Schizosaccharomyces pombe: one gene and its partners. The gene in region 2 interacts genetically with the main gene of each other region. Each region holds a gene or a part of one and is shown on either strand. Other genes may lie near its edges. The genes, in order: irc20, pdc202 and SPOM_SPBC1703.09.

Region 1 (3,759 bases), 4.1 Mb from region 2:
ATTCACGAACACGTTTCTTCTCTATAATTTGCATCCAAGCTTGTTTTTTGTATAAATACATAGGGGAGTAGCGAAGAAGAAATAAAAGGCCAAAAAGGTCATCAACTTCACTACGTACGGGAGTTCCACTTACAGTCCAACAATTGACACGAGGTATGCGATAAATCATTTGTGCGACATTACTCTGTGAAGTTTCAACCATCTGAGCTTCATCAACACAAATTCTCCACCAACATACATCAATCAATGGAGACTTTGGAGAAACATGTCGCTTTTCATGTCTTAAGGTCCTGGAATGAGATTCAGTGTACAATAGCTCAAACCGTAAATCAGAATAAGATGTTACCACTATATCACAATCCAAAAAAATTTTAGCTGATTTCAAACCATTGGATTTTCGGATTCCTTGGTAATGGAATACTTTCAATGATGGCACATGCAAATCTATCTCAGATAACCATTGATCGAGAATTGTAGAAGGCGTAATTATTAGGGTGGCCTTGGAATACTTTACATTTTTTCCGACGACCTGATCGAAAGTACAAGTATCAGTCAAAGAAATTGGCAACTGATGATGCAAAACTAATCCTAAGACTTCCAAAGTTTTTCCCATGCCCATTTCATCGGCTAAAATGCCTCCACGTATATCACCGGACGCAAGCAAATATGTTTTTTCTTTCGAAAATGTCATATAGCCGTAAACATGATTAACGTAAACCATTCGATCATCAAAAAGACTTTTGCAATGGTACCATAGAGGTGGTAAATCATTTGAGGTTAGGAATTTCTCTTCTTCTCTTCGTTTCATCCATTCTAAAACACGCATTTGAAATGGTAAAAGTTCCGAAGAAAGCCTTGGATCGCGTGATACATTGGCGAAACGTAGGCTTTTTGCCAATTTTCTTGCACAATCGTAAAATAGTGCAGTGTTAATATCTAAACAAGAATATTCCTCATCTTCAGACGGAAGGAACGTATAGTCTAGTAAAGCAGTGTATGAGGAAGATGATCCAGATGAAAGAATCGCATCTTGAGGGGCAAGAAAAGAGTCGAGTATGGAAATGCCAAACGACAAAATTAACTCGGATCCTTTTACAGTAACATAAGATGTGTATTTTATAATTTTCTTCAGCCGCCTATTATCCTCCCAAAGCTTACTCCAAATTTTGAGAGGTGCTTTTAAAGCAGAGTAAGTATCCTTATTCAAGTCGACAGAAAACAAAGGAATCAAGTTTTTGGCCAATGAAATTTTTCTTTGAGTAAAACTATATGCATGTAGTTTCTCAGATCCATCAACCCAAAAAACGACAGGATAAATAGTAGACTTTAGCCGATTTAACTCGTCCTCTGGTCCACGCCATATCTGCTGGTCTAGCTTGAGTTGGTGCTGGAATGCACGGTAGCAATTGGCGAAATCACTTTCCAAAAGGTTGTTTCTTTCATTTAGTAAGGAAGCCTCCTTCTCTATTTTTCGCCTCTTAGTTCGGTCCATAATGTTCCCTCTCTTAATTAAATACAGTCGTGTTTTGAACCAATAGACTTAAAAATTTTAGAATGAATAGAATTCTTTAATGTACAAAGAAATAAACGAAAATATATAAACCCTCAAGAACACAAAAGGGTAGGCATTGTGTTATGTGCTTTTGTTCTTAGTTGTGGGCAAAAAGTGTCTTGATTAAAACATGTGCCACTTTTTTTTTGCTAAAGCTTGCAGAGTCGAATATTACTTTGGTATTTTTTCCCCACCTTTCTTCCCTCTTTTTTTTTTTGGTTTAAAAGTACGACAAGGTAAATATCGATAAATCGTTTGTAAGGGAATTCTATTATTCACGGTTGAATCAGTACAAACACGAATTAGAACTCAAAATTACCTAAGAAATAACATCTACGTTAATTAGTAAGTAAATTGTAAATACTATTAAAATTACCGATACACTTAATATCTCATTTGCTGGCTAAAAGAAAGAGCCCTTTTTACTCGGTATTGTACAAACACACTATTCCTTATTGCTAAAACACTGTGCTCATCCTTTAAGTATATATCGATTACCAAGTTTAATTCAATTAGCAAAAAAATATAAATTCTAAATAAAACGTAAACTGGTAGGAAAGTTTTTAAAAGTGATGTCACCTTCACTGGACAAAGATTATTGTTATTGTCATAAACTAAAGTACAAAATATAAACTAAAGATTGTATACATATTAAAGAAATATCCTAGTTTGAAGGATTCTTGTCGTCGCAAATATTGTTAAACCAAACTGCGTTTACCGTATTACATTGCAATTCGATTTGTTAGACTATTATGTCAATAAGACAAACGCTAAACTAAGGTTAATTCTACTAGTGTGTAATATTTTTTTATGTACGCACACATTGCAAAATTGAACTTACCCTTAACCAACAACACGATTGGGAATTAGCAGAAAACAGTGACAAGTGGGTAAGAAAAAGAATCTGGAAGGATAAACGCTCTTTTTGCGCGACCACCAAAAGTATATAAAAGTGCAAATTTCCGTCTACGTCTCCTATTTAAGACAATCTCTCGAATAAGGACTTTTTGATCAACAGCAGATTTCAAATCATTGATTGATTTGAAATAGTAAAATTATTGTAAAGCGAGCAGTTGACAAACAAAACGTTTGTTTAGCTTGTATCCGAAGAAAAATTATTCAACGATTCAATTTAGTGATCTCGGAATTTCTAGAAGAGAAAAAGCTTACTTACACGATGCCTGCTATTATGGAAAAGAATATGCTCGTCAGCGAGTCGTTGCGTACGACGGAATTACTTGGCCATGTTAAACCAATTGACTCAGTGGTGACATGGTCTTCGCCTGGATCGTCTCGCCAGGCGATTGGTGAGGCGTTTAAAAACACGATTGAGGAAATTGAGCGTGCAGCTGTCCGTGGTGAACCCGCTGACTCTGATGCATTTTTTGTTGCTGATTTGAACGGAGTATATCGCCAACTTCTTCGTTGGCATGCTAAATTACCTCGTGTTCAACCATTTTATGCAGTCAAATGTAATCCTGATCCTAAGGTACTTGCATTGCTTAATAAATTTGGAACTGGTTTTGACTGTGCTTCTAAGGGTGAACTCGAACAAATTCTTGGCTTAGGTGTATCCCCTGATCGAATTGTATACGCCAATCCTTGTAAAGCCATAACTTATGTGCGCTATGCTGCTTCTAAAGGCATTAATCTGATGACTTTTGATAATGCCGATGAGCTGTACAAGGTGAAACAACATCATCCCAACTCACGTCTTCTTCTTCGTATTTCTACCGATGATTCCAATAGTCTTTGCCGTCTCAGTCTAAAGTTTGGTGCTTCTCTCGATGATACTGGTAAGCTGCTAGACATCGCAAAGTCCCTGGAGTTAAATGTCGTCGGTGTTAGCTTTCACGTTGGGTCAGGAAGCTATGATCCCTCAGCATTTTTGGATGCTATCCAACGATCTCGTCAGGTATTTGATCAGGGACTTGAAAGGGGATTTAATTTTGACTTGTTGGACATTGGTGGTGGTTTCATGAATGACAGCTTTGATGGCGTAGCAGACCTTATTCGCTCTGCCTTGGATACTTATTTTGATCCCTCCATCCGTGTTATTTCTGAGCCCGGTCGCTTTTTCGTCTCTTCTTCGTTTACTTTGGCTGTCAATGTAATTGCCAAACGGAAGCTTGATGATGAAGAGAAGGTGATGTATTACGTAAACGATGGTGTTTATGGTAGCCTTAATTGTATTTTGTTTGACCATC
Region 2 (3,759 bases):
GAATGGAACGGTAGCTCCTATGTAAGAAATAAGAATGTTAAAGTTGGCTTTTAAGCAGTTTAGCAATTTTTCTGCGAAACTAGTAAGTAGATGCAAGGAAACTGGTTTCCACATTGTTTGGATTAACTCTACCTTTTCATTCATTGCTTCCAAGGTATTGTTTGTTTACGTACACCCTAACTTGACTTGAAAAATTTTAAACTAAAAAGTTGCTTTAAACATAAATTTAATAACTAATCATTATACTAAAAGACTATATGAATTGAATGGGCTTATCATAAAAAACATATAAATCAAAGGAAACTTTGTTTGCCAATTCCACTCTCAATAGCTTGCTCATTGCTTATTGATCTTAGACGTCAACTTGGCTTGCTCAACTAGGACACGAGGTGCATCCAACATAGGCATTACAAGCTCAACTACTTGAATGACATCTGCATTTGCAAACTCCTTGTCGCTAAACAACTTTTCAACGTCAGTAGGAGTTTTAACACAGTAAGTGCGGAAGTGGTTTTCAGCAGCTCCGAAAAACTTGGGAATCTGTTGGTAGCCCCATTTAGTGTTAATTTCGTTATAGCTAGCATGCAAACCATGAATTAAACGCTCAATGGTGTAACCGTCGTTGTTAATTATGAAAATAATTGGTTTGAGGTTATGGCGAATGCAGGTTGAAATCTCTGTAATCGTCAGTTGTAAGGATCCATCACCTACTACAAGAATGGTACGACGATCGGGCTCTTTAGAATCGTGGACGGCCAAAACAGCACCAAACATTGCACCAACGGAGTATCCAATAGATCCCCATAATACCTGGGAAATGGCTGTTACATCCTTTGGAAACCTGCAATCAAGGACACCAAAGTTTGCAGTTCCAGTCTCGGTGATCAAAACATCTCGGGGCTTCAAAAATTCACTAAATTTAGGCCAAAACCAGCAATGAGTAATCTCGTTGGAAGAATATCCTTCCGCATGCTTAGGCTTGATGTTGTAGCCAATGGTAGGAGCAGCCTTGGAATGACACATAGAAGCATCAAGTACTTTCAACAGTTTGCGAAGAATATACTTCATGGCTACATTTGGATAAAGAGCATATCGAATGCGCATGTGGTCTGAATGAAACTCAACGGCATTCTTTTGGCTGAGGTGGTAAGAGAAGGAACCCGTGTTAAAGTCTGATTTGAGAGCACCGATGGATAGCAACAGATCAGTGGATTCAATTCTGTCTTTAACTTCAGGATCTGAAATTGAACCAACATAAACGCCGTCAAAAAATTGCGAAGTTTCGTCAATTGCAGATTTACCCATGGGAGTTACATATGTAGGGAAATGGGTCAATTTAATCAGCTCATGTACTTCTGGAACGACACGATGTCTTACAGCACAAGCGTCAATTAAAATCACTGGTTTCTTTGCATTGACAACCATTTCCGAGATATGATTGATGACTTCTTGCTCAACTGCTGGATCGTTAGTATCCTCCTCGAGCTTTAGTCTTTTCCCAAGATTTGATGAAGATGCTTTGAAGTAGCCAGCATCAGAAGGAATACCAATGTAAACAGGCCTAGCCTTTTTATAACAAATCGACAAGGCTTCATCGATCTTTTCAGCTGCATCGTTTCCGTTATCGATCATTATACTGTAGGCAGAAACTTTCTTAAACATATCCATGAAAGTGCGAAAGTCTCCATCTCCTAAAGTATGATGAAGCAAAGCTCCAGTATCTTGCACCTTTGTGGAAGGCATTCCAACAATATGAACTACTGGGACATGCTCCGCATAAGAACCTGCCACTCCATTAATAGCGGAAAGCTCTCCCACGCCGAACGTTGTAACAATGGCTGAAAGACCATTAACACGAGCATAACCATCAGCGGCATAAGCACCATTCAACTCATTGGTATTGCCAACCCAACGAAATTTCTCATCTCCAACTTTCTCAATTAAGTCAAGTAGAGCTAAATTGAAATCTCCTGGAACACCAAGAATGGACTTGACCCCTAATTGTTCAAGCCTTTTGAATAGATATTCACCGACTAAAATATCCCCACTCATGTTTGATAATGCAATTTAATGTGCTTGTGAAATATACTCAACAAATTACAATGCTGAGTGTGTATTCCTTTTTCGCAAGATAATTATCTGTTGAATAACCAGCAGATACTTTCTGAACTTAAAGGAACAAGTGAGTTTGCTAGCTAAAAGTTAAAAAGATATAACCTTAGATGCTTCAGAGCAGGGTTACTCTGGCTATATAAGCAACATTCCGTCATCAATGATACATTGAGTTAATGTGGATTATTCTTTTTGAAACTCTTGGTACGAAACCACTCGTCAGAGGCTATTTCATTATTCGACTCAAATCTCACTATGTGCCACCCGGGAAAACGTCAACTATGCAATTTGCAATTATTGATTTAAGGCATCGTCAGCAGTTTATACTGGACGATTCTTCGGTTAGTGTAAGCAACTGCAGAAATTATTATGAAAACTCTACATCACCGAACGTTCCGTCTCGAAATTCTTAATTGTATCTATACCAAAGACAAAATTGATACCTTTTACATTATGTCTAAACTGAATTTAATGACTATTCCTTATTTCAAGCTTATTAATTTACATGCTTTATTGGTTTGTACCATGTTTGTTTGGATACTTAACATTGAGAGCTGAATGTGAAATATTGTTTCGTCCGTAAAAGTAAGGCGTACCTCATGGTTACGAGACCATGTGACCACTCAAAAATAGAATCCTCATTATTATAAAGTATCCAAAAGTCTTTGAACATATTGCTGTAATTATGATTTCACATGAATATTAACGACATTTTTCAACCGAGTTCACGATTTGCCTGACATCTAGCAATATCGATTTCACAATTGATGGACCATTTATAGGCTTCTTGCTTTAATTCTGATTATTTTTTTCATTGTTATATTGCTACAGTGTTAAGCTTCAACTTGTTGTTTTTCTGTTTATCATATTGATTTGCAAATTGTAACGCTCCTTGCTATCCTCAATAGTTGCCATGAGCCAAACGGTATAGCAAGAAGTGATCTCCAGCACTGGTTCCCCCACCCCCACATGATGTGTACATTTAAGAGGGCAGGTAACGCTAATAAATAGTATGATAAATAATACAAAATTACTGTTATAAAAATTTCAACAGATATCTAAAAAAAATTGATTTGATCATATCCCAAAGTATTGTAAACTCGCACAGGAGAATATTCTACCTTTAAAGATTTAGTTTTGTATTATGATTTTGTTTGACAAAAGTAATAGTCATGAGTAAATTGATTACTACATTTAATAAACAAATCTATATTCAAAATAGAAAAAAAAAATTCGCTACTTCGAAAGTGAAATTTAACAACATGAGACTTCAACCGAATTGATTTTATTTTTAAAGGAAACAGAACCAGAGCCATCAGAAAGACTCGGTCCTTACAACCGTTATGAACGGTTGTGGAAAACAGTATTAAAAAGAATAAAATCATGATAGCTACATATCATTGACATACACTTAACAAGGACATTGAAAAATGAGATTGGTGTAATCAACAGTAAATAAGTAAAAACATAAAGTTTGCACATATAGCCAAGAAAATAAATAAGCTAATACTTGCGAGCGACTTCAATAATAGTGCGAACTGGGCGTCCGCTCATGCCGTCACAATCCCAAGAATTAAGCTGCTTATCCATAACTCCGGCAATGTCTAAATGAGCAAAAGACAAATCTTTCTGGGCTAAGAAGCATTT
Region 3 (3,546 bases), on a different chromosome or scaffold from region 2:
CGTATCTATTAATATTAGCATTCATCTTCTTACGGTAAAAAAACTCATTACCTATTGATTAGCAATTATATCGCCCAATTTACAAGAATTCTTTAATTTTGGAAAGAAAATACTCTATAAATTGTTAATTTCTAGCTCCTGATGTATTGAATAGTATGCTAAATCCTTACTACTCTGGATTCATCGTATATGCACAGTAATGGCGGACGTTCTGTTGCTCGCTTCAGTCTACGCATATACCAACGCAGCGGAGTGGGGGACCCTACAGCCCAAAGAATGCTCACGGGCAAATCTTTTACTATCATGCTGCTAATTATATTAAGTATCGTTATTTCGTTTAGCGTATCTTAACTTTCCGTAGTATTTCATATGTTTTCAAAACAAATATATTATATGTGCAGACAAAGGCTTCACTCAAGTTAATTAATATAAAATTATAACTTTTTGTAGTTTTTACAGTCAATCTTAAATTGTAAATATACTTAACTAAAATCCATACTGTACAAACGAACGCCAAAATCGCGACTACAATAGTACATACTTCCTTAAAAACAGAGAAAATAATATGTCATAACGGAAAAAAAAATACTTGAAAAAGTAAGAGTAACAAAAACATGAGTCTTTTCTAGATTTTGATGACAGTTAAGTACGGAAACATGTATATTTATGTCAAGACTGTAGAGTTGCCAACATTAAAGTAAGGGGTTCAAATTAGAAGAGGTATAGATATAATAATGTACAACATAAAGAAAATTAATAAAATGAGATATAGCTCGGATTTGCGAATCGCTTTAAGATAAGGTAACCGGAACGAATTAGATTTATGACCAATCTTGAAGGGGTCGTATTCATGAAATAACAAGCAGCTAAAAGCACCAAAGAATTCTTAAAGAGTAACTAATTTGTTAAGATAAGAACTTCCAAAAGAATATATTGCACACTTACCTTTATACAGTTTCGAGATATTCGAATAAGAGCGTTAATAGATGACATGAAAAAGAACCGATTTTTTTGATACTTTTGCAAAATCAATTGTTCTGACATCGCAGTAATTTCTAGATGAATTCGCTGTAATGCTGATTCCATAGCAGCAACTCTGTTCTGTTGTTGCTTTAATATTGATAATTGTAGTTGAACGTTTTGGTTAACTGCAACGAAAATTAAATTATCTGGATTCTTCTTAACAATGGTTTGAGATTTGTTTGGTTCTATAGTTAACTGAGACGTGATAGGAGATATTTTGTTAGAACGGTCAACAGTTTGTGTACTATCAGAAACATCTGCAGGGATAAATTCCGTTGCTTCAACTTTTCCTTGTAACACTATTTCCCATAGCTGCTTAGTAGTAATAAACGAAGATTTTGGCATGATCATACTCGCCGTATTCGCAAGAACCTGATTATCCTGCATGCCTACAAAAAAAACGCATTTCAGGCTCTGACAAGTATGATGAATTACAAAAATAAAATAAGAAGCTTCTCCAAATATCTTATAAAACACAGAAACAAATGTTTTTGAAGATTTAAGAGAGTCGTGGTAGAGGAGGTATGAATTAACAAAAGAACTGTCAGTAAGTATTCAGTCAACTAAGGAATACATATCTGAAAACTTGCGCGCAATGTAAAATAGGTAAATCAATCAATATTTTTAACAATATCAGCAAGTTTAAGTGCATAAAATGGTTTTACGCCATCGTTGAACCTATATTTTAATTTTAAACAATTGTCATCATAAATTGTATTGGAAAATTTTTTTAATACTTAACTTCTTACTGAACATTTGGATATTTCTTAGATATACAATTAACTCAAGCTATTAATTCATTTAATATTAACATGAATTTTGATTACCTAGTATATATATTATATTCTATAAAATTGATAACCGATTTATAACACGAGTCAGATTAATATTGATAATATTGTGAACCTCACTAACAAAGCTTTTACTAACTATAAATATTAAGTCGTATTAGTCAAAGTAATGAGTTTAAAAAAGAATCAACTACGTGCTATTTTAAATAGCAGTTTAGGCAAACTTGCGGATCATATTATTGATTCTCAATGTAAGTATACTTAAAATATCAAGCTTAACAATTAAATGCATAAAGCAATTTCCATTTGCAAACAAGTGGTCGAATTACCCGAATGGAAAAGATGCAAAAATGTCTGTCTGTACATGAACATGCCAAAAAAAGAAGTACGAACTAGATGCCTTATAGACGTGGCTTTCAAAGAAGGTTAGTATTAAATCTTTCAATACATTACTAATCATGCAAAAATAGGCAAAAATGTTTTCATACCTAAATGTATTGGTTCGCATGTAATGGAAATGTATCAAGTTTTCGAGAAAACTGAGTCCTTGACGATTAACAAATGGGGTATTGCTGAGCCCAATGGAGAATCAAGAAAGAGTTGGTTAAAATTCTGGTAGAATTGTTCAATCTATTAATCATATTTAGTTATGGATGATGAAACAGACTGTGAACTTATAATAGTTCCGGGAGTCGCTTTTGATGAAAAATTATCTAGACTAGGGCATGGAAAGGGGTACTATGACAATTACATTTCCAAGTATCAAAGCTGGGCGTTACAAAAGGAATCACGAGCTAACATGTTCAAAGGTTCGTTTCCAATCTCGCTGTGTAATTCATATAAACAACTAACGTGACCAGTGGGAATTTGCCTTAAAGAACAAATACTTCCAAATCGAGAAATCCCAATGGATACCAGAGACCAAAAACTGGATGCCCTTGTTACGCCGGAAAAAGTAATCAGAAATATATAGTACAAAATCTTATTCTTATCTGCAAGTTGCAATTTAGATGACTACGTATTAATATTTATGGACTAATAATAAACAAATTTTAAGTCCCCTTAAATCTCTGGTAAAATATTTTCGTACGGCGGAGAAGTCAATCCAAACGACCACTAGAAGACTGTTCACGATAATCCGAAAAGCAAAACCTATTCCAAAACAGAACAAACTTAAGTTCATAATCTAAGACAAATACAAGAAATCGTCCCAAGGGTGACGATAAAGAGGTGCCCTAAGACGTTTCTGATCGAGATGATGACCAATAAGACCAATACTACGTCCCAACACGAACATACCATTCAAGATACCCAAATTGATATATTCATTAGCTTCTTCAAGAGTGAAAGCACCACAGTTACGAAGTAAATCGACAAAGCATACAGCAATACAGCCATCAACGTTCAAGATAAGGTTATCCTTCTTGGAAGTAGTGACATTCTCTACGGCCAAAGCGTAATCTAAGAGCTTAGTTGAAGGGAAATTCTTTTTAACGTAACCCTTGACCAATTCAACACGAAGATCAGGATTATTTCTACTCTTAATTCTATGTCCAATACCAGGAATCAATTTGTTGGCCTTACGGCAAGAGTCAACAAAAGCACGTGGAGATAACCCTGCGTCATAAGCTTTAGAAAACTCTTGAGCAGCTCCATCAAGCGCACCACCGAATCGGGTACCGATAGTAAGCAAACCGGCAACAAGTGAAGAAATCAAATCTTTTCCTGCTCT

The links.
Region 1: mutations in pdc202 (region 2) and irc20 together harm fitness more than expected from each alone (negative genetic interaction), as found in Schizosaccharomyces pombe (one large-scale study listed by BioGRID).
Region 3: mutations in pdc202 (region 2) and SPOM_SPBC1703.09 together harm fitness less than expected from each alone (positive genetic interaction), as found in Schizosaccharomyces pombe (one large-scale study listed by BioGRID).

Annotation. Positions count from the first base shown.
Region 1 is NC_003424.3:4,656,989-4,660,747, reverse strand, and holds the start of irc20 (ATP-dependent DNA helicase), read right to left. Parts: upstream 1,652-3,759; 5' UTR 1,493-1,651; coding exon 1-1,492. Other genes in the region: ornithine decarboxylase Spe1, read left to right, coding at 2,730-3,759.
Region 2 is NC_003424.3:583,890-587,648, reverse strand, and holds pdc202 (pyruvate decarboxylase), read right to left. Parts: upstream 2,053-3,759; coding exon 337-2,052; 3' UTR 154-336; downstream 1-153. Other genes in the region: ysp2 (peptidase family M17 cytoplasmic leucyl aminopeptidase yspII (LAP yspII)), read right to left, coding at 3,616-3,759.
Region 3 is NC_003423.3:2,929,627-2,933,172, reverse strand, and holds SPOM_SPBC1703.09 (uncharacterized protein), read right to left. Parts: upstream 1,539-3,546; 5' UTR 1,411-1,538; coding exon 946-1,410; intron 898-945; coding exon 754-897; 3' UTR 542-753; downstream 1-541. Other genes in the region: GTPase Ypt1, read right to left, coding at 1-5, 174-184; fau1 (5-formyltetrahydrofolate cyclo-ligase), read left to right, coding at 1,984-2,065, 2,111-2,239, 2,285-2,413, 2,462-2,623, 2,675-2,787; acl1 (ATP citrate synthase subunit 1), read right to left, coding at 3,001-3,546.